Linked DNA regions of Rhinolophus ferrumequinum. The protein of the gene in region 3 interacts with the protein of the main gene of each other region in a pairwise test. Links are inferred from orthologs where the notes say so. Each region holds a gene or a part of one and is shown on either strand. Other genes may lie near its edges.

Evidence for each region.
Region 1: the proteins of FHL3 (region 3) and CCDC198 interact in binary tests that used the Homo sapiens proteins (3 or more experiments, as listed by UniProt). The two-hybrid records come from large-scale screens. The link is inferred for Rhinolophus ferrumequinum from reciprocal best matches to the Homo sapiens genes FHL3 and CCDC198.
Region 2: the proteins of FHL3 (region 3) and THEG interact in binary tests that used the Homo sapiens proteins (3 or more experiments, as listed by UniProt). The two-hybrid records come from large-scale screens. The link is inferred for Rhinolophus ferrumequinum from reciprocal best matches to the Homo sapiens genes FHL3 and SPMAP2.
Region 4: the proteins of FHL3 (region 3) and SAXO1 interact in binary tests that used the Homo sapiens proteins (3 or more experiments, as listed by UniProt). The two-hybrid records come from large-scale screens. The link is inferred for Rhinolophus ferrumequinum from reciprocal best matches to the Homo sapiens genes FHL3 and SAXO1.

The regions. Positions count from the first base shown.
Region 1 is NC_046289.1:36,461,685-36,469,695, forward strand, and holds the start of CCDC198 (uncharacterized protein CCDC198), read left to right. Parts: upstream 1-4,998; 5' UTR 4,999-5,125; coding exon 5,126-5,354; intron 5,355-7,783; coding exon 7,784-7,866; intron 7,867-8,011. UniProt on the Homo sapiens protein: May be involved in tuning the metabolism, energy expenditure, and excretion processes.
Region 2 is NC_046301.1:62,346,277-62,354,079, forward strand, and holds the start of THEG (testicular haploid expressed gene protein), read left to right. Parts: upstream 1-4,783; coding exon 4,784-5,088; intron 5,089-6,042; coding exon 6,043-6,159; intron 6,160-6,407; coding exon 6,408-6,479; intron 6,480-6,835; coding exon 6,836-6,897; intron 6,898-7,771; coding exon 7,772-7,803. UniProt on the Homo sapiens protein: May be involved (but not essential) in spermatogenesis.
Region 3 is NC_046292.1:26,548,415-26,555,601, forward strand, and holds the start of FHL3 (four and a half LIM domains protein 3), read right to left. Parts: upstream 3,003-7,187; 5' UTR 2,790-3,002; intron 1-2,789. UniProt on the Homo sapiens protein: Recruited by SOX15 to FOXK1 promoters where it acts as a transcriptional coactivator of FOXK1.
Region 4 is NC_046295.1:20,399,581-20,406,636, forward strand, and holds the start of SAXO1 (stabilizer of axonemal microtubules 1), read left to right. Parts: upstream 1-4,044; 5' UTR 4,045-4,059; coding exon 4,060-4,082; intron 4,083-7,056. UniProt on the Homo sapiens protein: May play a role in the regulation of cilium length. Stabilizes microtubules at low temperature.

The DNA.
Region 1 (8,011 bases), on a different chromosome or scaffold from region 3:
TGATGTCCTCCCAATGAGAGATGAAACATACAAAAATTCTTTGGTCTAAGTACTTTAAGAAACTCATACATTGGCTGTCTTCAGAATAGCAATTATGTGATGGTTTGGTTTTAACATTTAATTCAATGATATACTTGCAGATTGCATTTAAAAGGTAAAGATACACATCTCATTCAACTGATCTTATTTAATAGTTTATATAAGAAGCTTCAATTCACAATTTTTTTCCATTTTTTTTGCTTCGGCAATTCCAAACCAAGTAGGTCTAGTAGTACTGTCACCCTCACACCCAACGTATGGATAAATATAGAGGGAAATAATCACTGGGAGGAAAATTAAGGTCTGGGTCATACATCAACTCCGCTTCGCTGGCATCCAAACACATAATTCACATCTCTGAAAAGTCTCCAGTATTGCTTATCCATTACATATCAATTGCAGAAAAGGCTGTAATTTTATTAGAAACATAATTTAGGAATCTTGTAAATTAGGATTTAAACCCCACTTACTGAATGTTCGATGCAGAGTAATTAACCCACGTGTGAAATTAAATCCAATCCTAAGCAATCTTTATATACATGTTGTTTTAAAATCTGTCTGGAGCCTTTCCAAGAAAATCATATGCTGAAACATCAACAGGCAATTTAACCAACCTGACTCCAGACCGCTACTGTCCTATCTTAAGGAAAATCACCTTAGCATTTATCACCTGCCTAATATAAAACATCCAAATGTATATATCCATATCCCATTAAAAACGAAACCTAGTTCTCTAATATTAGGTTGTTCATATTTTAAAATGTACCACTCATTAATGTACACAGCCACTGAGCATTTTTATGGTTTTACATTTGTCTGTAGTTGCTTAGAACCTACAGTGATTGCAGTCACCATTACCTATTTGGTTCAAGTAGTACCTGGTGAAATACTTGCAGAAAAACCTGCCTTTCTTCACTGCCCCTACCACCAACCTCCTTATCTCCAAGAGGTTATCTTACCAAGAGAGGGTGGGTGACCCTGGGAAGTCCATCAAAGGCAAGAGCTTTCAACTCACAATCTTATGAACAAAGATAAGGAATGTTTCTGCACAAAAAAAAAAAAAAAAAAAGCTTTTGTCTTGTTGGCTCTGATGAGATATTGCAGTGTAAACCAGGCCATAAAAGACTGTAAGGAAATGTAGAAGGTACCTCACCACTCCCTGTACCAAATTTATACTTCAAGCCCTTTGTCACTCAAAAGTAGACTTTCTTGTTAGAGTGCAGGAAAATCCACATATCTCCTATGAATGTTCATTGAATTTACTATAGAATTTAAATCCACTAAACAAGCTTCCTCTATACCTTTGCCCAAGTTAGGAGTGTGTCATGCAGGGATTCAGCTCCCGCTCCCCATACAAGAATGCAGGATATGGTCAGGCCAAAAAGGAACAACAACGGAGCCATAGATAAGGGAGGCATACCACTATATTCTCGATGGCGGCTGATCAAGACACAAGAAGTAAACATCCGGCTGTACCTCAACAAGGGGTCTTCCTGCACCACAGTCTCGTTGGCCGCAGGGTGAGACACAGGAAGCAAACATCTGCCAGTTCCACTACACGGTGGTACGTTCCCAAGCAAACAGTCAAGTGGTCCATCAAATCAGGGATGGGAGGCAGTTCCCCATAGTCCACAGTCATTCGCCAGGGCTGTGCGTTGTCCTCACAATGTGTGCCCTCTCCACAGGGCGAGGGCTCCAAGTCTTCCCCAACCCGGGAGTGAGGGACGACCTTGACCTCACCCACATCCTCCACTGAGGACTCATCAAGTGTTTCCTGCTGGGCCTACAATTCCCGCATCTGGGCTGCCTCAGCAAGCCCTTCCCAGCCCCCACGGCTGCAAAACCCTTCACTTTCTCCGGCCTACGCTGGTTGGAGAACCATCCACGTCTTCCCACCCCTCCATGGGGTTCCAGCTCTCCAGCAGCCACTCCCACTGGGCCCCCCAAGACCGAGTGTCCACATGCACAAACTGCTCCACCGCCCCTCAGAGAGCCCCGGTGGGCACCATACCCTGCTCTCGAAACAGCTTTCATACGTATAAACTGCTCCATTACCCCTTTGAAAATTCTGGCTGGCACTATACCCTACTCACTGCGCCATGTGTCATGCAGGGTCTCTGGTCCCGCTTCCCACACAAGAATGCAGGATATGGTGAGGCCAAAAAGGAACACCAACGGAGCCATGGATAGGGGGTTCATACCACTATATTCTCTCTGGTGGCTGGGTTGGAGATCCAGGAAGCAGGAGCCACACAATCTGCAATCCGCCATTTGCTTCTCTGCCAACCAACCAACCAACCCCCCAGAGTAGTCACGGCCGTTATATTAGTGGCTAACGGCCAACCGGTAACAGTCAATAGCCAACTAGTCACAGCTGAGGGCCATCTATTACCAGAGCCAGCACCTTTCCACGTGAAGCCGAGAGCCTGGGAACTGTTCTCTGGGACTCTGTCCCCACAGAGTGAACCAAGAACAAAAGCAGAGATTTCTGCCGGAGAAAAACAGCTTTGTAGCTTTGCCCCCTTCTCTTCCCTCCCTATGGACGTAAAGGCTGAAGAGGAGGGTTAGGAGATGGGACAGTTGTGCTTAGCTCACTCCATGTCTCGAACGAAGGTGTTCTGTACATGAGGCAAAAAAGCGCTGAGCACTCAGAGTTTGTGCAAGCACATTTCTTGGGATCTCCATGGTCAGGTTGCCCGTGGAGCGGCTCCAAATTGGGGGCTTCTGTCCCTAACGTGGACTGGCGCACTTGGCTCTCAGTTCCTCCTCCTCCTCTCTCCTCTGGGGCCTCACCACCTTCTCTGTCCTCTGTGCCCTGTGTCTTAATGAAGTTTTCTTTGGGCACTACCTTCAGCTTTAACAAACTTTAGTCCCTTGTCTGCCTCATCGTAAGAGATTTATAAACTTATATTCTCATTTCATATTCCTAAACTATTACAAATAACATCCTATTGTATCATCTTGTACACACATATTCATAACCATTCTGGAACTGGGACGGGATCATTATAAAGTATTACAGATAGTCTGAAGAGTGGGCAAGATTTGGGTGGGTAAGAGCTTGTTCATGGTTTCCAACTCTTAGAAATTAATTATGGTTAAGAAATTACATCTTATATATAACTCTATAGGTGACATTAAATTCTCCTTTTCCTCTTTTAATAAAATTGAAATTATTTTTCATCACCATTCTGATAAAAATTCTTTCAGTACATAAACACTTTTTAAATGATAATCCTTAAGCACCATTGTTAAATAGGCCCAACTATTAAGTTGGTGCAAAAGTAATTGAGTTTTTGCAATTATTTCTAACCTTTTAAACCACAATTAGGGGCGGCCAGATGGCTCAATTGGTTAGAGCGCAAGCTCTGAATAACAGGGTTGCTGGTTCAATTCCCACGTTGGCCAGTGAGCTGCGCCCTCCACAACTAGATTGAAGGACAACGGCTTGGAGCTGACGGGCCGTGGAGAAACACACTGTTCCACAATATTCCCCAATAAAATTTAAAAAAAAAAACAAAAAAACAAAGAACATAAAACCGCAATTACTTTCGCACCAACCTAATAATTTACCCTTTCTTCATTGGTCTTTTCCTGTCTTACTTTACACAGGAAAATGTCTATTTTAATGGATAAGGACTATCCTGTTACATGCGGACATGTAGCAATACTTCCTCAGGAGGAGAATGCTGGCTAATGTTTACTTCAAGCTTACTGCACCTCAGGTATTACTCTAAGAGCTATAAACAGAATTAATTTGTTCATTCCTCACGGATTACTATTATTAACCCCATTTTACAGTTGAGGAAATTGAGGCATGGAATGGTTAGGTAATCTATGCCAATTGCAAAGTTTGGCTGTGACTAGTAAAAAAAGAGAAACAAACATGGTGTGAACCTTCATTTCTGTAGTAATTTCCTCAACAACTAATCAACTTCTTCTACAAAGGCTCATATTCTCCACACATATAGTCTCTCAAAGTTAGATAATAAAGCAATAAAGTAGATTTTTAAAAAATGAGAGCTGAATTCTTCCCACTGGATCCAGATCCAGGGAGTCCACAGTTTCCCATATAATTTCTAGTTCATTTGTTAGTTTGCAATACCTTTCCCAGCCCTTAGAAATATAAACTGATTGTATCCAAAACTAAATCTTACTAGATATTGTTCAAGTACTTGTATAAAGTATAAAGATTTTAATCTTTATAATTAAAATAGTCTCTAGTTACCAGAGGTAATTTTGTTTATAGATACTGCTAATATATGATTCTTTCTTGCAGTCTCTCTGCCACAGGAAAAAAAAAGTGTTAAAACGCAAAGGGAATTAAGTAGGAAAAAATTAAACTCAAACATCTTTTTAGATGAACTCTATTGACTCTCAAGACTTTCCAAACCCATGTTAGCCTCTTAGTAAACAAAGTTTGCAAAATGGAAAATAAATTTCTTTGAACTTCTCTACAGGAATATGATGAAAACATTAGTCATCTGTGGTCATAAACAAGTAGATCTGGAAAGTGAGTTCTGTTTCTAAGTATTAAAAAAAACCCTAAAAATCACCCATAATCCCACCATTCCGTTAGAATTAAAGATTAACGAAGCTCTAGATTACTAGCATGCACCCCTTCATGTCCAAAGGTGAGTTAGCTATTCTTAGCTGGTAGTTCTTATGGATGGTGTTTAAAAAATACGTGCAATAAGAGGTACAACTTTACGACTTCTTTAAAGCTCTGCTCTCCATCTCTGTTAATGGCCTTCTTCGTGTTACAGATTTGTTTAATGATCAATAGAGCTTTCTCTTCCTACCCCTAAGCCTTTCAGAAAGTTGCATAAATAAGTCAATGTTTAACTGGATTCTTTGGGTCTGAAATGGCAAAGTGAGAGTTGATGGGAAGTCTCCATGGAAACCAGCCTTCCAGGAAGTGGCCAGAGGGGTTAGTGTAGTGAAAGAGAGCTACAAAGATGTCATGAAGGAAACAACTGCTTTGTAAATCTGGGTAAACGTCTGTAATGCCTTGATTAAAACAAGCTACATTATAGGCCCAAAACCACTTCCCTCATGGTTTTCTTTTAAATGTTTTTAACGTAAAATGGGCCTGAGCCACTCTAAAACTCATCCTAGAGTGACCAAAGTAGCACCTTTGCAAATCAAAGAGGAAGAGACTCCCTCAGCCCACTCTGTGGACGTCGCATTCCACCAGAACCTGGAAGAAACGAGTTCCTATTCATTTGCAAGACTGCGGGACCGGGACCGGAATAAAGCTTTGGAAGGGCAGCTACCACCTCTAAGAGAGACCTGGTATGGAAGATATTCTGCAGGTAAACATAAAACCCAGCCTGAGATTTGTGTATTTGTGTCAAGGAGAGCTACTGACAGAGTTATCTGACTGTCCATCCCCATAATCTCAGAAAATTCTAAATTTATTGAAATATAAGGGAACATTTTTTGATGAAAGAAAGAATATCAATTGTAAGAATCCTGGGTACATTAGAATGGGTCTGTAAACTGCATAAACGGCTTTTCACCATTCCATGTGAGAAGGAAAAATCATTTTGTTTCAGCTTAGTTTATAATGCTTTCAATGTTTATACTTAGCTTTGCCAGACAATTAAAATTATTTAGATAAAGGTGTGATCGATTATGAAAATCATATGTTTCAGTTAGATTCTAAATTTAAATCATTCTTTCCAGCATAATTTTATGCATCAAGTTTTGTTGTTTTGAAAGCAGCATTTTAAGAGTTCATTCTAATGTGAATTTGGAAACCACCCCAAACAGGATTGATTTATTGCAGTACAGATGAGTGGATGACTCACCCTTTCCCCAACTGCATATTTTTCTTGGTCATCTGATGAACTAAGAGAATTTTTCCCAATTATAATAGGAAACTTTGAGCCTGAAGTGGCTATAAATTATCCTGGGGTATTTTATAAGACATGTAAATTCTTTTATGTCAACCACAATAGTAATTAAACAGACATTCTAACTTGAGAAAAGTACATTTACAATGTATACAAATGTATATATGGAAGTAATTTTCTCTTTTCTTCACATTCTGGATCAATAACACAAATAAGTTTTCATTATTGGTCAGCTTGGCCAGAAAGCCTTATAGTCTCTTTCGGTACCTAGTAAATCTTACCTAGAATGATCTTCACTGCTATTTTCTATAACTGACAACCTTTGACTGGCTCTCTGTGACCTATGTTCTTATGTTCTTCAACTTCCTAAGGGCATGAGTGGGAATTTTCCTTTTAATTTCATCGAAGAATTTCTTTTTTATCTGAACCCTTTATCCAGAATTCTAAGATTTTGGTAACTGAATGGTAAAAGCTGAGTCTTATGCATTTGAGTTCCAACTAGGAAATGTTCTTATTTTATAAATGGCAAAATCACAGTAAAAATAAATAACAAGAGGATGGTGAGCATTCTGACCACTATCTTCAAGGGGCCCATATTCTAACTCCAGCTCCACCAAATGCCAAATAGTATGACTTTGGGCAATTTACTTCCTCAGTTGTTTTTTTATCAACTATAAATCAGGGGTGAAAATAACTGCCTGACACCACCTATGCCATTTTGGGAGAATCAAATTAAATAATGGGTTGATATCTCCCAAATCGTAGTATACAAATAAGAAGTAGTCAGGCTGCTTAAGAAAACTGTGCTGAAAATATTTAGATTTTTAAATCCAATCCGTGTTTTGTTGTCGCAGCTGTTCTTTCTGCTTTGTTCAACATGCAGGCATCTCTTGAAAAGTAAGGACCTAGTGAAGTTCTTAAGGTAGTCATTCCAATGTCTTAAGGATAAAAACACATCATTACCCAGGAATTTTTCCATTTAAAATGCAAAGTGGGACTGTAGAATAGTCTACACAACAATCTGGAAGTCAGAATGCTTCCTTCCATCTTGTTGAGAGGAAAGAACGGGGTCTTCATTCATGCCGTCGAAGTCCACGGTAGTGGTCCCAGGGCCCAGGATAACCAAGCCAAAAAATCAAATTCCTAATGGGTCTCCTGAGCCTCTCTGTTTCTAACGAGGCTTAGCCCTGGGTTGTTTTATCAGGAAAGAGTGCTGACATGTGGCAATTTGTGGGAATGTCTTTCCCTAGTTTAGGGGACTCTTCAAGTAGGGACATACAATGCTCAGCCCTGCACAGTCCTATTACACACTCATGCTCCATTTCTTTATCACCTCTCTCTAATAACTATCCATCTATCTATTTCATCTGAAAAGAGAATTTATTTTAATTTCTTAAAGCTGTATTTTTTTTCTGATTTCCTCTATGATTTGGGGGAGATTTCCATGACATTAAAATAAATCGGTAAGTTTCTTTTTTCAGGCCAAATTCTATGCTTGAATAACATTGGTCGTCAATATATGAATTGTGCAGATCTTCCTCTAAATATCACTCTCGGGAGAAAATGAGGGAAGCAGAAATTAAATCCTGAGTCTAGGCTAATATTTTATCATTTGCATTCATGTAGGGTCCCTGCTTTATATGTTTCATCTCATCTCTATATTCAACTCGCAGGTGTATATATATATATATATATATATATATACACACACACACACACACACACATATATATAGATAGATATGCATATATATGTGTGTGTGTGTATATATATATATATATATATACAAAATTGTGTCAACAAAGTCTAATAACTTATGATTAGCCTAATTTAACAGTAAATTTGTTTTTAATGGTTTGGTCTTGTTTCTCCCCTAATCCTTCAAGTGCCCAGGACCATGTATTTTGACATCCCACTGGAACAGGGAGAAACAAGTATTATTAAAAGGCATCCACCCCGAAGACTTCAAGTAAGAATTTAAAAGGCTTCATAAGGAATTTCTTGAATTTAATGGTAACATCCCTTTTCAACTATAATCATAAAAGAGAGACATTGACCATGACCAAGCGAATGAGAATGACATTATTGTTAAAGAGAATGTTGTCAATGCAAAG
Region 2 (7,803 bases), on a different chromosome or scaffold from region 3:
CTGGGCCTGTTTACAGCTGGAGAGTCAAGTCATGCACTTCACAAGTTTACATTTTGATATAATTTCAAACGTACAGAAAATTTAAAGATACGTACCAGAAACTCCTGTAGACTCTGCCCAGATTCCCCAGTGGGATGCATTTTGCCCTATTTGCTGTATGGTCTGCATCTACCTGTTACCTGTGTGCATATATGTATACTGATATGCATTTCCTGAACTATTTAAGATGACATTGGAGGTGCAATGACCCTTCACTCACAAACACATCACCATATATTTTCTAAAAAACAAATTTTCTTTTATAACCCAGTACAGTATCAAGGTTGAGAAATTTCACATGGAAACCATCTCATATCTGACCCAATGATGTCTCACTAGGGGGCCTTGGTAACCGAGCAGGTTGCCATGACAACAGATGCTGGCAGCCAGGTCAGCAGACAACAGCTCAGAGGAGCCAGCCTGGGGGAGGGGGCCCCCACCAAGCTTAGGGATGCTCAGGGTTGATAGAGCCTTGGGGACCACTGCCAGTGAAATTCCCCTTGGTCCTCTTAGATCAATTGGGGTTGTGGAGTCAGGACTTGAACGTGTCTTTTTGGGGAGACGTAATTCAACCCAGTCCAAGTACAGTGTAAATTCCTGGGGGCACGAGGTTTAGACATTAGCTGAGTTACTGTTGGGCAAGGCAGTGGCATCTGGTGGTGGACAGCCAGTCCATGTTGGGCATCTCCAAGCTGCCCTTCACCCTGCAGGCCTTCTGTGACTGCCCCATACACATGTGGACACCCCCCCTTGCTCCGTCCCTCATGCTTCCAGGGTTGTAGTCTGCCCGCCAAGCTCCTTCCTTGAGGATAGAAGCTGGCATCCAGTCCCCATCCCATGTGACTCTGGGAAACCCATCCTACCTGGGTGCTGCTTAAACCCTCACTGGTGTCCCACCCCTTTGCTGGGGTAGGCTTATGTGTGGACATGTGACTCCTTTCTGGCCAATAAAATGTGAGGGCGGTGGGGCGGCTTCTAGAAGCTACTGCATTCCATTCCGTGGCTCATGATGTCTTCAACTTGTAGACTCACTTGTCACGCTGCCATCTCTGGTTCTCTCTCTTCTGCCTCCGGCTTCCTCTTATAAGGGCCCTTGTATTACATTGAGACATCAGATAATCTAGGATCATCTACCATCTCTCATGGTCAGCCAATTAGCAACTTTAGTTCTTCCTGGAACCTCGGTTTCCCCTTGACATACAAAAGGACACATGTACAGGTTCTGGGGATCCGGGCGTGGACATTTTTGGGGGTTGTTATTCTGCTTATCACAGGTTTCCTTGCTCCTAAAAGGGAGGCCCAGGATAATGGTCCCTTTCTGCCTGTGGCCATTGCAGCTTTATGATGAGATGTCTGGAGCAGCTGCAGCCATTTTGGTGCCCATCTGAGAATGAATATCATAGAAAATTCATGGCATAGCCAAGAGAACCATGGAGCCGCACAGTGGAGAGGAGCCCAGGAGCCTCTTTTCAGAGGAGATAACACATTGCCTCATTGCTTACGCCCATCTGAGGCAGGATTTTTAGTTGCTTTACTGCCAAAGACATCTACAGAGAAGACTTCTAGCCTCCCCTTAGAGGCCTTGGGAATCTGGGTGTGCATCTCTCCAGCCTTCTTTGTGACCAAGCATGGCCCTGTGACCACGTGTCAGCCAAGTGATGTGAGCAAGAGTGGGTGAGCCTTCAAAAGTAACGAGTACTAAACCTGGAAACTATCCAAGTTCCTGTCAGCAGTGGAATGGACAGAAAAATCATGGTGCGTCCACTCAGTGGCTGGCTCCCCAGCCATGAGAAGGAACATGGACAAACTACACAGACACAGTTTTGAGCTTAAGAAGCCAGACAGAAAATAACAAATACCAAAAAATTCTATTTTATAAAGTGAAAACCAGCCAAAACCTATCAGTGTTGTTAGAAGTCAGGACGGTGATTGTCCTGGGGGAGGGGAGACGAAAGGGTCTGGGGGTTTTGGGGCTGTTGCATGGCTCTGGTCTGTTGTGGAAAGCCCTGCACGTAGGGTACATGGTATCTGACACTGAAAAGGAAAAAGAAAATGCCAAAAGGACGGGACCTAGTCGTCCTCCTCCTTCTGTGTGGCACTGGGCATGGGCTGCAGGTACCCAGACTTCTGCAAGGAAGAAAGGAGCTTCTGTTTTAAGAAGCCACGACCCCCTGGGTGTTTGCTGCCACTGTGAAACCACTTGCCTCTGGAGAAAGATGGACTGTCCTCGTTGGGTCCGAGAAATCAAGCCCAAGCAGTGCCCTTGCAGGGTGGAAGTTTCTTAAACACGACTGAGCGATGCTTTGCTGCTTTAGCAAGAGCAGATGGTGTACGTTTCATCCCACTGTTAGTGATGGGACATACCACACCAGGCCTCACCTGGGTATGAATAATTCTCACTCGGGGACACTCAGCGATGGGGACACCTGTGGTTGTCACGACTGGGTTGCTCCTGGCATCGAGTGGGTGGGGCAAGGGATGCTGCTGGACCCCGCAGGACAGCCCAGGACGGCCCACAGAGATGACCCAAGCATCCACAGCACTGAGCCAGAGACACCCGCTGTACATTAAGGGACATGTAGCAGATGGAGGCCCCGCGCTGCCTCCAGGGCTCTTCTGAGAGCGAGGCACCATCCGCAGGCCTCACCGGGCTCTTGGCATCTTCACCACCGGAGTAGGGGAAGTGACGGCGCCCACAGCTGCCTTTCCCAGGACTGCCATGCCGACTCCCGCCCAGCTCACGTATCCCCCGCGTTTTGGGAAAACTATTTAGTGTTAGGCCGAGCGCGGGGCAGAGGAGCTTTGCGCATCACTGTCTCTCTCACTCCTTGCGTCTCCATGGGAACCGGATTGTGCTGGAAAGGCAGCAGTGGAGGGGGTTGGCACTGAGTCCTTGCTCCTGCCTCCGCTGGGGCACCCCTTCCCAGAGGCAGGAAGGGCACCGGATCCCTCAGCTTTTGCCACAGAAAATGCCCTTCAGTCAAGGTCCTTTTCCATCATTGCTGAATTTTACAAATACTTAAGAGTCGCAAATGCTGAGCCCTCCCGGAGGCAGCCTAGCGCTGAATGCAATCTTGGGCAATGACTTGGCCTCTGTGTTCGAAATGGTGGTGACAATACTGAAGCCCATCTCGCAGGACGGACTGTGGGGAGGCTTCCAGGAGGCGGTGTCGCGAAGCCCAGCGGAGCGACCCACATGCCCTTGAGAGGGGCGCCCTCTTGCGGCCGCACTGCGGTACTGCTGCTTATCTCCGGCGCTGTGGTCACTGAAAACCGCAGCCGGTGCAGTCTGCTCTGGGTGCTAGGAATCCTGGCAGAAGCAAGACTAGGACGGTCCCCGAGCCACGGAAGCCTCATATTCCAATGGGGCAAAAAGTCAGTTAAAAACGCAATGTGGAATAAGATCATGGTAAATGCTGTGGAACAACCACCTTAAAGTCTCATCGACTCAGGGAGGAAAGCCCTGCTTTAGGTTGGGAAGGGTATTAGGGGGAGGTGATATTCAAAGTCAAACTGGGAAGACTCAGCCACTTGAAAATTGAGGGGCATACTCGCTGCAGGGTGATGGGGGGGACACAGGCTGATGGGGGCGTGGGGCTTCAGTAGGCCAGCGGCAGGTGGCATGGAGACTCCCTCCTGAGGCAGAAACTTGTCAGGGACACCGCAGGGCTACTGGCTGCTTTGACAAACTTGTGTAGGGCAGGATTGCTGCATAACAGACAGCCCCAAATTGGTGGCTTAAAATCATGAAGGTGTGACTGCACGCTGGGGTAGGCTCAGTGTGTCAGCTCTCGCTGCATGTAGTCTGTTGGGGCTGGAACTTGAAGGGTGTCCTCTTCCCTCCTTGTCTAGGAAGCTCACACACAGAGAAGTCTCCAGGGCTGCCAAGTTCATAGGCTCAGTGATGCCACCAAAGACCTACCCTTCAGCTCACCGTCCTCGGACAAGCAGGTCTCATGGTCACAGAATGGCTGCCTTAGCTCCAGACATCACAGACAGCCCCATAAATAACCAAGAAGTGGAGCTGGGTCTTTTCCTCATGTCTCCTGTCAAGTGAGAGAAGCCATTCCTAGGAGACCCCTGCAGACGCTCCTCAGGTCTCATTCCCAGAGCAGCCCTGGGAGGGGCGGAACCACTGGTGAACTATAACTGCCAGAACTTCCTCTGATCTGAGACAAAGCGTCTCTTACCAGGAAGACATATGGGATGCAGTCATGTCTGCTCCAGCATGGAGCTTGCCCCCAATCTAACCACTCACTCAGCTGCTCCTCCCCAGAGCCCTCTGTGGTCCGGGCATCTTCCAGGCACTAGGACATGCAGAATGGGACACTCAGCTCCTGGTCTGGGGAGGTGACTTTCTACAAGGCCGAGAAGAAAACAAGTCAATATTGTTGTAGATGAGGCCAAATGGAGAAATCAAACCAGATGCTGGGACGCAGAGAGACTTGGAAATGGGGCTGCTTTCCTGAGGAGGAGCCTGCCTGGGACGTGTGTGGGCAGAGGGACCAGCAAGTGCAAAAGCACTGAGCAGGGGACATGCCCGGCTCACTTCTGGAGCAGGAAGGCAGTGACAGGGGAGGGCGAGTGAGGGGTCAAGGCTGGCAGAGCGTGAGCAGTGCCTGGCAATGGGCACATGCAGAGTGGAATGTGGACACCGAGAATGTGGCCAGGCCATTGTCCTGTTGCCCGGTGACACACTGGGTGTTTTGGGAGCAAGACTGCTGGGCTGGGGAGGGCCCTGTCCATGGGGGACCACCGGCAGAGTTTGACTCACAACCACCACACGGAGGCTGAGGGCAGGTCAGGAAGGGGGCCGGATGATGATGGCCTGGCCCTCCAGAGTGCTGTGCGTGAGAGTCCAGGGTCCAAGGACCCCAAATACCAGGACTTAGATGGTGGGGGGCTGGGCTTCCAAGACCAAGAAGAGGAAATTCCCCCCGAGGAGTTGGCCGGGGAAGAATTCCTGGATGACCGGGCCCCAGGAGAGGCCATCCTGCAGTTGGAGAGTGTTCTGGACGAAGATGAGGAGGAAGCAGTGCCCGAGATGAGGTGGCATGGGGGTGGGCTCGGGTGTGGGGGGGGAGCAGCGTGCCCACACCCAGCCCATGGCCCCGGGCAGTGCTGCAGGCTGGGTCCCCCTGGGGCCATGTGGGCAGCACCCTCACTGGCCTCTGAGGCAAAGTCGGCAAACACAACCTGTCTAGGCAGCAGGTGGGTAACGGTGGGAAACCCTACAACAGTGCCCATTTTGGAGTCAGACAGCGTTCAGATGGCAGAGCTGAGAGGTCAGGAGAGGTGGCCCCCAGTATGACAGAGAGAAAAAGAAAAGGGGACATCCTCCAACTCAGAAGCCGCAACCAGTCCAAGCCCGCACATTGCCACAGCCAGTTAGGAAGCCTGGGGGACACATCCTGAGCAAACTGGGAACTGGTGAATTGAGCATTTATGGGGAGTGGTTTTTAGCCAGGGGTGCTGCCCTGGAAAGAGCCAAGTGCCGCCTCCGCTGTGACTTACTGTGTGCATTGTTATCCCTTGTCCTTCTGCCGGGCCATGTTCTGGGCTCTTGACTGTGGCCAGCCAGACAAGAAGCAGCCCCGTGGGTTAGCCGGTGCCCTCTTTGGTGTCACCTCCCATACCGCAGATGGATGTCTGCCGAACTGACCTCTGATGTCATGGGTGCAGTAACAGGGGCCGGGGAGGACCTTCAAGCCTATTATGTGAGGGCTCCCTGAGGCCTCTCTGTGGCCCACTCCTCCTCATGGCCAAGACACACACGAGCTGAGAAAACGGCCATCCTGGGAGGGCTGGGCAAATCTCTCTTCATTGCACAGTGGAGGGAGTGGGCCACCTGGCCAGGGTCACAAGTCTGGTGCCACTGGAGCTAGGACTGCAGTCCATGGCTTCTGCCACCAGAATTCGCGCCTCCCCACTTCAGAGGGCGAGGAGATTCGGGGCTGGAAAGCCGGCAGCTGCAGCCTCACAACCCAACTCAACTCCCCACAGCCGGCTCTCCATCACCCAGAGGTTCCCCAGCACCTCCATGGCCAGAAGGAGGAAGAAGGGCAGGCGGCTCTTCGAACTGGCAAAACCCAAGACCAACTGGCATGTCTTGAAAGACAGGTGAGGTGGCGGGCTGGTGGTCTCGCTGGAGGCAGGGGTGGGGGTCCATGAGGTGGAGAGCAGCCCCAGGGGGGCCCATTTGTCACCCATACAATAAACTTGGGGTGAGAAGTCAGGGTGTGAACGGAGAGAACTTGGGGGGGCCACAGTGGTCCATGGTAGCCTCTAGATGCTGGCTACGGACAGCGAGGCGTTTGAGCAAGTGGGAGCTGCAGAGCAAGGTGGGGGCTGGGCCTGTGTCCTCGCAGGACGGGGTGCTGCTGCACGGGCTATGCCTGGATCGCCCCATGCACGAGGACCTTGCAGTTCTGTGTCTACTGGTGAGTCCAAGGGGCGTCTCCTCTCTCTGAGTCCTGCCCAAGTTGGGGGGAAACAGCCAGGCCCTGGGGCCCTTTTCTTACTTTTGCCTTCTTTTTCTGGCTCCCCCCTTCTCTGAACACCAGCCTTGCTCAAAATAATCTACATTTCCCCTGTGACTGTAAGACTTTTCTGAGTCTGCCCTTCTCCTGCGTCTCCACTGTCCCCTCCCTTCCCACTGGTCTCTCCACCCCATTGTGCCCCAGCTACCCTGTCTGTGCACCTGTGTATGGGGTGCCCTGAGTTCTGTTTCAGAGCAGGGTGCAGGGAGCCTGTGTCCTGCTCCCCTTGCCCTGAGCCACGCCCGGGTGCTTTCCAGGCCATCGGTGTACTGGACGGAGAGGTTTCTTGAAGACACCACCCTCACTGTCACGATGCCCGGTAGGTTGGGCCGCCCAGCACCTCCACGTCTCGTTAGAGGCCTCCTGGGTCAGGCGTTGGTCAGAGGTGGCCCTTGTCCCAGCGCTGGCACCTGGCCACCCTGTCTGACAGGCTGCTCCTGGTCTTCTGGGGCTGGTCTCACCCAGACCTTTGCCTGGCTCCAGTGGGGGCTACGTCAGGGCCTCCCCTAGCCCTCACTCTTCTGGGGTCCCTGCCATTTCTCCCCCATCCTCCATCTCTCAGTGTATCTGTCCCTGCCCCCCCCTCCAGGGGGCTCATCTCTTGACTCTGTCCCCTGGGGAGCCAGAGCTAGCTGGAGGGTGAAGGGTATGGGGCAAACCCTCCAGGGAAAACCCCAGTTTGCACCACAGCCAAGATGGAGTTATTATTCACTGCACAAAAAGACCCTTTGCTTCCCTCCCACAAGCGTTTCCACCCTTCTTGAGAGCAATGGATCCCTTCAAATAAAACTAATTATTGGGGAGAAGTAACAGAGCAGCTTCTCACTTGGGTTTAGCATCTCCCCCACAGTGAACACTAACCTGGAAACACTAGGCCTGTACAAACTTCAGGCCCAGATCCACTTTCCCCACCAGTGGGTTGTTGGTGCCCCAGGAGCCCCTTGGAGGGACTCAGGACCTGAGCTCCCATTCCAGCCCTGCCAGCTCCGTCCTTGGCGCTGTGAGTAAGGGACTTCAGGCCTCTGACCCTGCTGTCCCCAGAATACTGACAGCAAAAGTTATCCCTGCACAAGGTGTCTGGCACTGAGCTGTTTGGACGCAGTGTTGCTCTAGCCCGTGGGAAGTTGCTCCGTGGGAAGGAAAGCCCTGGTGGCAGGCAAGTCTCGAGTTGGGGCTGTTTCCCTTTTGTGCAGCAGTGTCCCGCCGAGTGGAGGAACTGGCCCGG
Region 3 (7,187 bases):
GCTGTAGGGTGGACGGTATCCCCCTTCTCAGTCTGCCCCCCACCACTCGGGCCTGGGTTTCCTCTGGCCCAACATCTGAGGGTTGCCTGGGCTGTCAGCCACTGGGCAGCAGGGGGCCACACAGGTGGAGTGAGTATGGCCATGCCTCTGTCCCAGAGTGCCCTGGGCCTTTTCCTTCCTTCCTGGCTTGGCCCAAAGCATCAGCCACCTTCCCAGGCCCAGGCTACCCTAGGGCCCGCCCCCTGGAAGGCAGTCACCACTCTGAGACAGGGGCACCCCAAATAGGGTATGGGCATGACTTCTGTTTCCTTCCCAGAATGCCCTAGTCTGTCCAGCTGGGCTCTAGTGAGGACAGAATGAAGGGCACTATCAAGGCCCACCTGTCTCTGCCCATTCTCCGCCTCCCCCTTTCCCTGGCAGGGCTGGGGGAACTGAGGGAGCCAGTCTTGTGTTCCTTCATGGCTGGTAGGAGAGTGCAGGGGAGACTGCTCAGGCTGCCAGATGGCTCTCAGCCCTTGCCCCCACCAACACACACACACACACCCCTACACCTGACCCAGACATACAGCTGGCACCTCAGTGAACCTCCTGGAGCTCCGAATGGCTGGATAAATGGCTGTGGCATGCATGTGGTGTGCAAGGGCTTGAGCTGTGAAATATAAGCCTGGGTGATCTTGGGCAAGTCACGTAAGCTCTCTGAGACTATTTTCCCATCTAACACTATCTCCTACCTCCTGAGGTGGTTGTTGTTGGGCTTAAATGTTAAGATACTTAGAAAGCACCCAGCAGTTAGTTAGTTAGCAGTCAGTAAAGGGAGCCTATTAGTGTTCTTCTTAGCCCCTCCCTCATTCTGGGTTCAGACAACAGGTACTCAGCCAGGCCTGGGTCGGGGAGCACCCAGAATTTGACCTGGACCTTCTCAGTGTAGGCCCAGGGAGAGAACAAAGAGGAACCCCTTGTTCTGCTGGGGGCACCAACGAGGCTCAGGCTATCAGGCTAGCCCGACTCCAGTCAGCATAACTGACACCCCTCACACAGGTACACAGGTGCACACACCTGCATGCTGCTGTGCCTCTCACAAAGTGCACACCCACCCACCATCTCAGCAGATCTCACAAAAGGCAGGCGGGATAGTGTGTCATCTCCATTTTACAGCTGAGCACAGAGGCCAGGGACAGGGTAGGGGTATGCTCAAGGTCATTCAGGTAGCAGAGAGCCCAGGGGCCCTTTCCTGTTTCTCTTTCCCTGGAAATGCTGCAGGGATGGTGGAGGGGGTGGTCAGCACTTTAGGAGCAGGAGGACATGAGATGCTGGATGACATCAGTAGCGCAGGAACCCAGCTCTTCGCCCCAGCTGCCAGCCCTGAGACTGGAAGACACCCAGAAGCCTTTCCAATTACCCATGCCAACTACTCAACCCTTTTGCCCCCCTGCAGCCCCCAATGTCCAGGAGAACCCTGGCCAGGTCCCACAGCTGTGAGTCAGGATCTGAACAGACCCCTTCTCCAGCTCCCTGGAGTTGACAGGAGACTAAAGGGGAGAAACTGAACTCCCCCCACACCCACCCCTGCTATCACAGGCACCAACCGCCCCCCCCCAAACTCTCCCCTCCCCCCCACGGGGCCTGGGAGTCACAGCAATTTAGGGCAGGGGGAGGGGGTGGGAAGCAGGATCCAGCAGCTGTTCTGGGGACGAGAGGAATAGTTCATTCACCCTGGGTCCCCCAGGGCTGAAGCAGCCCATCCAAGATGAGTTTAAAAATAAATTGGGGCTGTCTTGGTGTATGCCTGGGGCTCCTTCTTGAGCTCAGTCTTACTGTCTCAGCTCCTCTCGTCATGGGGACTCAGCCCAGAGTTTGTGTTTTCCCACATCCTTGCTTCCCAATCTTCTGGGCCTGAGTCTCTCAGGGTCTGTCTTGGAAGCTGTCAGGGCACCTCCATTAAATCTCAGTCTCTCGGTGACTAGCTCTGTTCCACTCACCCTGTGCCTGTCTCTGCACACTTCAGCAGCTGTCTGTATGTTGTGGGTCTCTGTCTCTATGACTGGCTATCTCCAAGCAGCCTCCCTCCGTGGATTTCTACCTCTGAACACCCACGTCTGCTCTCTTAGTGTGTCTATGGGGAGGAATGCCTTGGTCTCCACCCCACCCCACCCCAATTCTCTACCTCTTAGCCTCTCTCTATGCCTGAGTGTCTCTGTCTCCAGTCTCTGAATGTCTCTGTAGGCCTCACAGAAGCTGATTCACCACAAGGCTAAGGAAGCTCAGGCTTCTGGGACCCTCACTTGCCCAAGGTCCTGGAAAGGGCGCTATGGCGTGTTCACTAGGGTCATTGTATGCCTTTTCTTAAAATGCTCCACAAAACCTGCCTCCGTCCCTATGCCTCCGGTCAGTCTCTCAGAGTCTCTACGCCCAAGTGGAGTCCCTGTTTTAGATAACTGCAGCCTCCTGTGTAAGCCTGTCGTTCGTGTCCCGGTCTCAGTCTCGGTCTCTTGCTCCACCCGGCTTTCTGGGAGACTCAGTTTCTCAGAACCCTCCGGTCTTTCTCTCGACTCGGACTTTTCTATTTCAAACTTGGCCCCCTCCCTCGCCCAACTCTCACAGTAGCGCCCGCCCCGCCGGAGTACCGGTTGCAGTGCAGACCCGGGCTCAGCGATCTCCCGAGATCGGCGCCCTAGGCGCCCGCAGCCGGACCCAGGCGGGGGCAGGGGGCGGGTCGCCTCCGCTCCCTTCCCAGCCGGAGGGCGGGGGCCAGGAGCTGGGATCCGAGCCGCGCTCGGCAGAGAGCTCACCTCGAAGCCGGCGGCCGGAGCGGGGAGCGGCGTTCGTCGTGGGTGAGGGTGAGGGGGGCCGGGAAGCCGGGCCCGCGTCCCTCGGCGGCTCCTACCTGCTGGCCGGGCCGCGCGGAGGCCGAGCGAGCTGCCGGCGAAGCTGCCGGCTGCAACCGGACCGTGTGGGCGATTGAGAGCGCGGCCCCAACCCTCCCGAGGAAGTGTGCGCGGGGGCCCGCCCCGCCCGGACCCCGCCCCCGGCCGCCCCTGCCCGCGGGGTGCGGAACCCGCCCCCGGCCCCTAGTCCCCGAGGCGGGGGGCAGACCCCGCCCCCACCTCCCTTTTAGACTGGGGCCCCAGTCCCCCTCCTCCGGCCCAGCCTAACCTGGCTCTCTCAACCTTCCTGGGCGGCCAGGACCCCGCCCCTGTCCCTTCCTTGCCGCTTCTGCTGCCCTCGCTCCCTGCTCCCTCCACTCTCCTCCCCACCCCCACCCCCCCAGCCTCAAGCGGGAGTCTGCTGTATTCAGTCTCAGTTAAGGGGTACAGGACCCAGCTAGCTGATCAAGGTCCTTTTGGGGACCAAGAGTCTTCATGCCCTCTTTGTGTCCCCCTCCTCCCAATTTACCCCCAGGGGGTCACACTCAGCCCGGGTTTGTGAAAGGGGCCTTAATCTAGCCTGGAAGAGAGGGTGGTTTTGACTCTGCCATCACGGCCCTGTCGATGGGGACCTAGGTGTTCTCTGGAAAGAGGAGTGAAGAGAGGACCCCACCTCCGCCCTGCAGTAGCGCCTTGACCTTCAAAGGGCTTTATTCCACAACTCCGATTGGCAAAAACAGAAGTAGTCACCACCTCACCTCCAGGTGCATCCTGGGACCGCGAAGTCCTGTTTAGGTATCCACAGTGCCCAGGAATAGTTTTGACCTTTGAGGCCCCAGGGGGGATTCTACTCCTTGGCCCCATGATTTTTGGGCTTCTCGGAGAGCGGGGTGAGGAGTGTGCGCGGTTGAGGCACAGGGCAGGGAAGTAGAGGGAACCCCTCCTCCCCCACCTCTACAGTTTCCAACTCTCTGGCTTCCTCCCTGTGCCCGGGAGGGAGGACTGGCGCCTGCCAGGGACACAAGGCCCCTCTAGGTCCTTGAGGCCAGCCCCCCTGGGATCCTCAGGATTGTCACTAGGAATAAATAGCCTTGATCTGGAAGGGTGGGGGGAGGAAGGAGGAGGCTCTGCTGTGCTGTTTGCAAAACATGAAACAACAAACCAACCCTGGAAATAACCTTCGGCATCTAGAGTAGAGATTCAGAGCCTCTCCCATCCCCCAGGCTGGGTCCAGCCAAACTCTCAGAGCAGAGACTCTTTCCCTTCCAGGCTGGGATTCCTTAGTATCCTCTTCTCCCATCTCTGAATCACATGCCTGCCTTCCTGGGTCCCAAGTCACCCTCCAGACCAGATTTCCTCTCAAAATTAACTAATTGCTTGTTTATTATTGTTGTTCCTGTGTCAAGAGGGCAGGAAATGGGTCCTTTCTGTTCGCCACCACTTTTCCAATACCTACTCTAATGTTCGGATAATAAATATCTGATGAATGAATGAATGAATGAATGACACTGCTTCAGTTTGGATACCCCCTTTCCTCCCAGTTTGGACCATAGGCATCTGTTATCTGGAATCCAGGGAGTGAGCAGTCAGACCATGGGTGGGCCCTTTCTCTGGGATTTGTCTTGCAGGTGTAGGAGACTCCCAGCCCCAGGAGGTTCAGGGAAGACTGCCTGCCATTTTCCCCGAAAATAAGATCGGGTCTTACATTAATTTTTGCTCCAAAAGACGCATTAGGGCTTATGTTCAGGGGATGTCATCCTGACAAATCATGCTAAGGTTTATTTTCCTATTAGGTCTTCTTTTCGGGGAAACACGGTAGCTGAAGTTAGAGGCCAAAAGGGTTCTGCTGTGATGGGGAGGGCACAGGTGAGCAGCTTTCAGAAAGGGAGGAGTTATGAGTGAGTGAGGAAGGTGGATCAAAGGTATAGTTGGGGGTCTCTAATTTTTTACTCACAGCTTGAATTTCTGCTGAAAAGCCTTAACAAGAGTCCATCTTTCCTGAATTCTTAACTTTGTACTAGTACCTAAGCACTTTACATATATTAGTGCACTTAATTTTCCAGCAACTTTATGAAATATGTATTTTTATCCCTGTTTTAAAGATGGGGAAATAGGGGACAGAGAGAGTAAGTAACCCGCCAAGGGTGACACAGCTAATAATGCCAAAGCCTGGATTCAAATCCAATCAAATATCAAAGCTCCTTAGGCTAAAAAAAAAAAAGAAGCTTAACTGTTAGGTTCTAAGCCTCTGTAATCATTTAACCTCTTTAAGCCTCAGGCTCCTCATCTGTTGAGTGGTTGACTCTTGTCTCATAGCATTCATGTGAGGATTGGATGAGAGCACACAGTAGGTATTTAATATATGGGACCTCTTCCCCACCCCGGACACCCACACACATTCCCTTTCACAGTCAAGTGTTAAGGTTCTGCTGATGATGAACTTGGAGTCTGGAGGCCAGTTAAGCGACTTCTGATTTGGCCCAGCCTGGGGGAGGGACTGTTGTAGGCCAGGGGCTGTTTATCATTGTTGTTTCTCATGCCTACACTGTAAGTGCCCCTCTGGTTCTCCTCCACATTTCTAGCTCTCCAGTGGGCTCATATTTCCCTGCCCGCTCTATTTCTGTTGACCCAGGAGGACATGCCCCAGGGAGGTCTAGGGATCAGCCACATGGACTCCCTGTTCCTGTTCTCTATCAGTCCCCCTCCCTCCCTATCTCTGAGGAACAGGTGTGTCTGAGCTGGGGCTGGAAGCAGAGCCTTAGTCCTGGACGACCAGCCTTGGGTGAGTGGGATCTGGTTGTCCCTTTACCCACCCAGGTGGTCCCCACACACCCTTATCTTGTGGTGGAAGGGGGCTTGCTCAGGATCTCCCAGCTGTTCTCTCATCTTGGAAGGGCTTTCAGAAGGTGGCCTCGGGTGATGACTGACAGGCCTCTCGTGGTTTCCTCTTGAGTACTGAATCACTCTCTGATGCTTGTAACCACAAGCCTCCTTCCCCCAGTGAGAAAATTTCCTTCCTTCTTTGGGTATATTGCTCACCCTTACCCTTTGGACTGCCTAGAGCCCCTGCAGGCGGATTCCAGGTTTCTTTATCCCTTCCAGTGTGCAGAGCTGTCTTCTCCTGGGTGTACCTATTACTCAACGCCTTCTTTAAGGGAAGCAGCAGGAGTGACTGGGGCTGCCACCAGGTTACTCTGACTAATGGCTAGGCTTCTGAATCAAGAGGAGGCTGGAAAAGTGGGCATAGGCCAGATCATAAAGGGCCTTGTCTTTCAATGGTTAAGTAACAAATGAGATGGAATTTTGTTAATGCATGTGGCCCTAGTTGGGCAAGCCTCAGACTCAGAAAAAAACTTTTCACACTTCAGATCTCAGCTACTTTTAGGTTTTATCATGCCCACTGGTCTATTGGACTTCCACTTCTGGGGAATGAAGAGAGGATTTCCCCAGAGCTCCTCAGCAGGAAGAGTGAGCCCTGTCGTGAGAAATGGATGTAATTACAGCTGAAATCTAGCTTTACATGGTGGAAACTAAACCCAATGCTTCTGGAGTGCTCTGCAGTGCCCAACCCTCTCTCAATCCTCACATTTAGGTTTAGTAATAACAGTAATAGCTCAAAATTGAGAACTTGCTAAGGGGTGAACACAGCATTTTAAACATGTTACAGCGGTACCTCGGTTTTCGAATGTGATCTGTTCCGGAAGACCATTCGAGTTCTGAAACGTTTGAAAACAGCCGACAGCTAGGCCTCAGGATCTTGCACTCAGTGGACGCCGCGTGACATGTTCTACTTCCGAGGTGTGTTAAAAAACTGAAGCATTTACTTCCGGTTTACGGCGTTCGTAAACGGAAATGTTCCTCAACGGGGAAATGTTCGTCAATGGAGACGTTCGAAAACCGAGGTATTACTGTATTTCATTTAATCCTCACAATAATTCTGTATTACTACCTCAGTTTCACAGAGGAGGAGACCAAGGTCGAGTGAAGCTAACTTTTTCTTGGCTGGTAGCAGTTAGGATCAGAACACACCTCCATGGTTTATGGTCCTAATCATTTACATGGCACTGCCTCTGACACTCATGCTGTCAGCCAGCCATTCACTTGAGGGTGTAAGGCTCAGAACTTTATAACTACTGCCATGATATCACTCCTCCATTCAGCTGTGAGTGCCTTGATGGCTCTTTGAGGCAAGCAGCGCATGCTATTATCTTTGTTTTATGGCTGAGAAAAACGATGCTTATTAAAATCAAGCGACCTGTCAAAAGCCACGCAGCCAATGAATGGCAGAGCCAGACATGGTTTTAAGGTCCGCACTCTCTACAG
Region 4 (7,056 bases), on a different chromosome or scaffold from region 3:
CAAACCTTCTTGCTTCCGTAGTCTGTCTCCTGGAGTGAAGGAGAGCCCTCTTCAGTGTCCCCGTCAGGCTAGGCTCAGGATGGGATCCCAAAGGACCGTGCTAGAGGCAAGACAAGTCATGGATTTCCACAGATGCTGTTCTCCTTACAAACTGTAAAATTCTATGATTCTACCTTGGAGTCAACTTTTGTTTTACTTTTTTTGGATTCCATTGTAAGTTCTCTACTACTTCCTTACCATATATCAGAAAAAGTCAGCATTATTTCCTTTTACTTCTGGCCCTTAAATAAATCCTGGAGTGGAAAGAGAGTTCTGACAGGTGAAAGCACCTTCTCCCTCCCTTTTCTCTTCACTGCCCATTGGCCCCACATAGGATTGTTTGGGTGTGCTCTTGATCAAGGGGACCAAGACACCCCCTAAAATGATACAAGTATCAGAGATCTCGAAGAGGTCTCATTTCTTTGGCTCATGACTCTCAAGACTACTTTTAAATACCCCAAGCATGGGGATTCCATAAACTTTCTTCAGACATGATCTAGATCCATAAAAACTGAGAATCTGTTTTTTCCCTTTTCGCTCTACTAATGTTAGAACAATTCGTTTTCTTTGTAAATATCTTTCTTTCAGTAGATAATCCTTTTATACACGGTCCAACTGTCCATCCATCTATTAAATAAGTGTACCAGGCACTGGGCTAGCTTCCAGAACACAGAGATGTCAGACTTGGTCTTTATCTTTGAGGAACTCATGGGTAAAGACCAACAAGGAGAATCTATGGTGCTTGGTGACTTGAGAGGGATATTCAGGGTGTTTGGGTACAGGTAAGGAAAGGAGGTTACCCCATGAGCAAACTCAGACAATGAAACATTTACTTTCAAATAAGAACTTTGGTATTTCAGAGTGAGACAAGATTCTAGTTAATTGGCAACAAGTCAAATAAAGAAAACCTGCCCTATAAATATATATTAGATATAAATATATATTAGATATAATAGAACGCCAATCTCTGGATGCAAGTGTGTTGTATACTAAAATCCCCTCTTATGATAGCAATAACAGTGCAGTATTTTGCCATTAAATTTATCTTTTTTTTTTAAATAAGACTTTGTAGTATGTTTCAGTTTTAAGAAGGAACAATATGGAAAGGGGGTTAGATAAAAAGCAAAGTCTTACTGGTTTAAAAAAACAAGGGCACTGGAAGAGAGCAAATATTGCTATGTCTGTGGAGTCCATTTTGTTGCAAGTGACTGAATCTAAGTTATCCTTGATAAAAATCTTTACTTCTCTCTCAAAGAGTGTGGGTGAATAAAATATATCTGTGGTATATATTTTTGTTACCAACACTTCTTGGCTTTTGATTTGAGTTTTGTAGGAATACTAAAATAATAGGGTACTAATTGGCTCAGATTGAAATCTCAGATAATTGGACTGATCATGAGCCCGGAAATGGTAATAATGGCTAATGTTTTTAAACTGTAGGGGATGGTTATTTTGTTTACCATGAAACACAACAATTTATCTTGAGTGGACAGAAGATTAAAGCACTCAAGTCATGTACCTATGATTAGGACATACTTTATTAAATATATATAAAATATAAATACATATTCATCTTTATATATTAAATGCCAACAATGTGTATTTTGAAAAAGGAAAACTAAACTGTCACTGAGTGTATTTAATACTGTAAAATTCAGATATTCATAGTACAAGGACAGAATATTTGTGGAAGATTTCCTTGTACGTAATTAGGGAAATTTAAAATATTCACCATGAATCAATAGCCCCCCCCCTTTTTTTGAAAGACTTTACTGGGGAAGAGGAACAGGACTTTATTGGGGAACAATGTGTACTTCCAGGACTTTTTTCCAAGTCAAGTTGCTGTCCTTTCAATCTTAGTTGTGGAGGGTGCCGTTCAGCTTCAAGTTGTTGTCCTTTCAGTCTTAGTTGTGGAGGGCACAGCTCAGCTCCAGGTCCAGTTGCAGTTGTTAGTTGCAGGGGGTGCAGCCCACCATCCCTTGCGGGAATCGAACCGGCAACCTTGTGGTTGAGAGGACGCGCTCCAACCAACTGAGCCATCCGGGAGCTCAGCGGCAGCTCAGCTCAAGGTGCCGTGTTCAATCTTAGTTGCAGGGGGCGCTGCCCACCATCCCTTTTGAGCCGGCAACCTTGTGGTTGAGAGCCCACTGGCCCATGTGGGAATGGAACCGGCAGCCTTCGGAGTTAGGAGCACGGAGCTCCAACAGCCTGAGCCACTGGGCTGGCCCCCTCGATAAATAGCCTTTTTATAATAACTAAAAGAAAAGTAAATGTGACAAGTTTATATCATCTTAAGACTTTTTCAAGGCACAAATCTACAAATGAGAGGAAAATAAATTGGGATATCTGTAAAAGTACTTGCTTATATGCAGTTCTATTCATATGAACAATACAGGTGTCGATCATTTCCTCTGGGGGTTGGAGAGTTGAAGAGGGTACAGTGATAACAGTGGTGGCAGCAACATTTACGTAGAGAGCTGAACTTACTAACAGGAGCAACGTACTAATTGTTGCCTGGAAAATAGTTTAGATTAGAGCAGTGGTGAGTTCTCTGTATGTCTGTTTCTCTCCTTTCTTTCTCTCCTCCCCTATGTGCTGCCCCAGAGTGCTGTGTATTTTAGTTTCTGTAATTCAAATCAGTTCAGCATTAAAAAAACTTGCAATAATCCTGTGCCATTCCTTGATATAATTAAGTTGTAAATCATTAATGAAGTTTTATCAGTATACTGGTGTCTGATGACTAGAATTGCCCCAACTTGTTTGTGAGGATTTTGTATATGGGCACACAAATAATTGATACACTTCTTAGTTTTTGGAGCTCAAATGGCTGCCCTTTGTCTAGCAGTAGGTAGAATAATAAGGTTCATTTTTTACTGTGCATATAAAATGGAAAAACTCACTATAAATTATAACTGCAAATTATTATTTATCACCTACTGTATAGTGAGGCATAGAGTTTATTTAACCACTCATTTATATGCTCAGTTATTTGTTCAATAAATGTGTGCCAAATGCCTACTGTGTGCCAGGGAGGATATAAAGTATTAGGGATATAGCAGTGAACAAGATAGAGAAGGTCCTGAGCTTGACAGAGGAGACAGGCAATAGACAAACATACAAATTACAGATAACAGTGAGTGATGAGAAAGGCATACACGGGGATAAGAGAACTATGAGAGGGAAGGGGTGATGGGGTGTATTTTAGGTTTGAAATGATCAGTAGAAGTCTTTCTAAGGAGGTAACAATTGAGGTAAGACTTGAAAGAATAAAGGAGCCAGACTTTCAAAGTGCAAATGGTTTCATGTAGTCAGTGACATTTAGTATACTCAGAACTGAGGTGGTTCCGCTATATGAGGCCACTTGTGTGCAAGGATGATGTTCGGACCCGGAAGCCAATGAGGGAAGACAGCATCCTGGCCCTAGAGCACGGCCTTGGAACACCCTGTCATGTATTAAGCCCTTATTTTCTGGGTGATTGGGAGGCTTGGGGAGGCCTCAGGGAGAGGGTCTGGGGCAGCTGGGTTGTCACTCAGAGGGCTTGTTGGCCACAACCATTTACCCATTATGAGGGAAGTGTTTCAACAAGCAGCATGGCAAGTGTAACGGCTGAACATCAGCCATGCTTGTGTGTAATTCTATGATCCAAGGGATTTTGGCAATTAACCAATAGCAGTTCTAGCTCATGTAAACAATTCTGGCCACTTCGCATAGTTTGGTAGAGAAAAGGAAGAGTAAAATTCCTGTTTTCAATGCCCACAGTCATGATTTTATAGTGTGGGTCACATTTTGAGGAAGTAACATTATCAAACTGGATGTCTTCTTCACAAGAAGGTAACCAACCCAAGCTCATGTGTTTTTATAGGCGGCATCACTGTCCATATCTCCCGACGAAGATTTACGATAAAACAGAGAAACCATGTCTTCTCTCCGAATACACCGAGAACTACCCTCTCTATCACTCTTACCTGCCCAGAGAGTCCTTCAAGCCCAAGCTGGAGTACCAGAAAGGGTCCATCCCAATGGAAGTCCTGACCACATCAAGGTGAGGGCAATAGTATGAATATATGAACGTATAACACTCATGGAATAATGTACAGTAATAATGTACAGTGTTAACGTAATAATGTGCAATATCAACATATGCTATTAATGCCTTAATGTTAATTTGCTATATCGCTGAAAGAAAATCTTGCATTTATCAACCTGTTTGGTTTTTCACAATCTCTTTTCAATGAAAAGGATTTTTTGTGTGGTGGGTGGGGAGTGGGAGAGGGGCGGGGCTAAACTGATCTACATAAGAAGAGTTGGCGGTTAAGTAAGGAAGGGATGGAAAGGGGGCTGCTGTTGAAAAAGGAGGTTTGGGCTTTGGCACCTAAGCTCCAGATCAGCTGGAGTGGTGGTCGTGACGTTGGCAGTGGTGAAAGAGAACTTGATCATAGAGAAAGAGTGAGTTGTTTTGAAATTATGCTGTAGAGTTTGAATTGGGATCCCCTTCAAGAATGGGAACAAAGAACATTTCCTTATAAATTTCTCTTGCCTTATAAACTCTGATTCTTTAGATCCAGTTCTGGCTTAGTATATTTGGTTTGCAGAGGTATCTGTATTAAGGGGGTCAGGGGAAATGATCAATTTGAGGATTGTTCTACATGTTGCAAGACTCCAACAGAATCTGCCATTGACAACTCAGTGATCACCAGGTGGTGACCTGTGACTGGTGACCCAGTGCAGTAGAAACATCTTTGAGTGCAGTTGGGCAGTGTTTCAGATTATAGAGTTTAGTTCCCAGATGAGACCTGACACATCTTTGCCTCTGACATTCCTCATCCCTACAGGGCAGGATTGCTGTGAGGTGGAGATGAAATTGTTCCAGCATAGTACCTGCACACTACAGGTTCTCAAGACCTGGTCAGTTTTCTTGCTGTTGCTCCCTCTGTGCCTCATAATTTTGTGCTTTTCTACTAACGGTCCCAGGTGACCCAGGCTAAGCAGAACATCTCTAATATTCATTCTGCCCCCAAGTTACCCCCTGGTAACCTGGAAATATCCTGTGTTGAAATGGTGGGTTGGAGGCCTGAAGTGTTCCTGTAAAAAGCTGCTATCTCCTAGATCCAAAGGAAGAAGTCCATGTCTGGGCTATGGGGCAGAAAAGACACAAGAGGGGAGAAATGAAGTCAAGGGATTTCTGAGCTTGGTGGGAGCCATTGGATGGGGCAACTTGAAAATGGGAGAGAGTTGAGGGCCTTGTCTGATGCTTGACTTGAATCAGGTCACTTTTTTTTTTTTTTAAAGATTTTATTGGGGAAGGGGTATAGGACTTTATTGGGGAACAGTGTGTATTTCCAGGACTTTTTCCAAGTCAAGTTGTTGTCCTTTCAGTCTTAGTTGTGGAGGGCGCAGCTCAGCTCCAGGTCCAGTTGCCGTTGTTAATTGCAGGAGGCGCAGCCCACCATCCCTTGCAGGAGTTGAACAGCAACTTTGTGGTTGAGAGGACGTGCTCCAACCAACTGAGCCATCTGGGAGCTCAGTGGCAGCTCAGCTCAAGGTGCCGTGTTCAATCTTAGTTGCAGGGGGCGCTGCCCACCATCCCTTGCGGGAGTAGAGGAGTTGAACTGGCAACCTTGTGGTTGAGAGCCCACTGGCCCATGTGGGAATCGAACTGGCAGCCTTTGGAGTTAGGAGCACGGAGCTCCAATCACCTGAGCCATTGGGCTGGCCCTCAGGTCACTTTTATGCTAAGCAGTTCTCTTAAATGATTTGGTTTAAGCACAAGCTTTCTGGGTCCTGACTCATGAAAAAATTGTAATTTACGCAAACTTTTTTCCAACCTATGATTTATTGAACAACATGAACCTTAATGGTTGGGCTTCGTTTTACCAAGAAAAAAGCATTCTTAGTTTCTAAGAGCCCAAAGAACACAACAAGAGATGTAGACCCTTCCAGAGCATTGCTTTTCCTTTTAAGAAACCCTGGTCAACACTGATGAAAAGTCCTTGGCATATGCCTAAGAGACATGTAATTGGTACAAAAGGATAAGAGCTGTGTTGAGAAATGGCTTGCAACATCACATGCAGTCTCTAGATGTTGGTCTTCTCATCTCTTTATACCCAATTTGCAGGAAATGAAGAATGCCTTGTGAATATAAAGTAAGGTACAGTTTCAAATGTTATACTAGGGATCTATTTCCTGTCCTGGAAATACAGAAAAGCGTGTTTGAGGATTGGGTGTTGGGGAATGCTTTTTGTTTGTTGCTCCCATGCTTAGGAGAACGAGGATAAGCCCTCTCTCTGGGGCAGCAGCCCTGCTCCATCGCCTGGCTCTGAGCCCCCCAGAAGGAGCCCCACACGTGCCCTCCCACCTCTGCCTTCCAATGGTGCTTTGCAAATCACAAACTTCCCCTCTGACCTGTCCTAAATTATTCTTGCCTCATGTCACTTACAATAATAAACATATCACCCAGAAGGTCCCTCTGTCCCTGCCGGAGCCAGAGTAACAATATCATTCATGTCAAGATGTGGCCAAAGTGGAGGAATGCAGAAGCGGAAAGAATTTCCAAAACAAGTTGTTAATGACCATAGGGGTTTTAAAAAGAAAAAGTGGTGGGATCAAGGTTACCCATAGGAAGGAAAAAGAGCAGAGATACTTCTCTCCTCTCTTTTATTTCCTTCCCCACAAAGAGAACTAAGGGGGGAAATAATCAGAGATCATCTTTTCTCTCTTCTGTACCTCAGTTTCATCATTTTTCAGCTCTATGACTGCCATGCTGGGCACTAGTGTTTATAGACCAAGGACAACACTATGTCCCTATCAGGAGGAGTTTTTTTGGTTTTTTGTTTTTCTTTTTTCAGAGTTCCATTGAACTTTTATTGAAATAAATGAACAGAAATCAAGATTTTACCAACCATCTTTCCTGAACCTCATAAATTCCGCAGAGAGTCTGGTCCATATATGTGTACAAAATTATTCCCTATCAGGAAATGTAGAGAAGCTGTCCTCTGAGTATGCCAACCAGAGGCTTC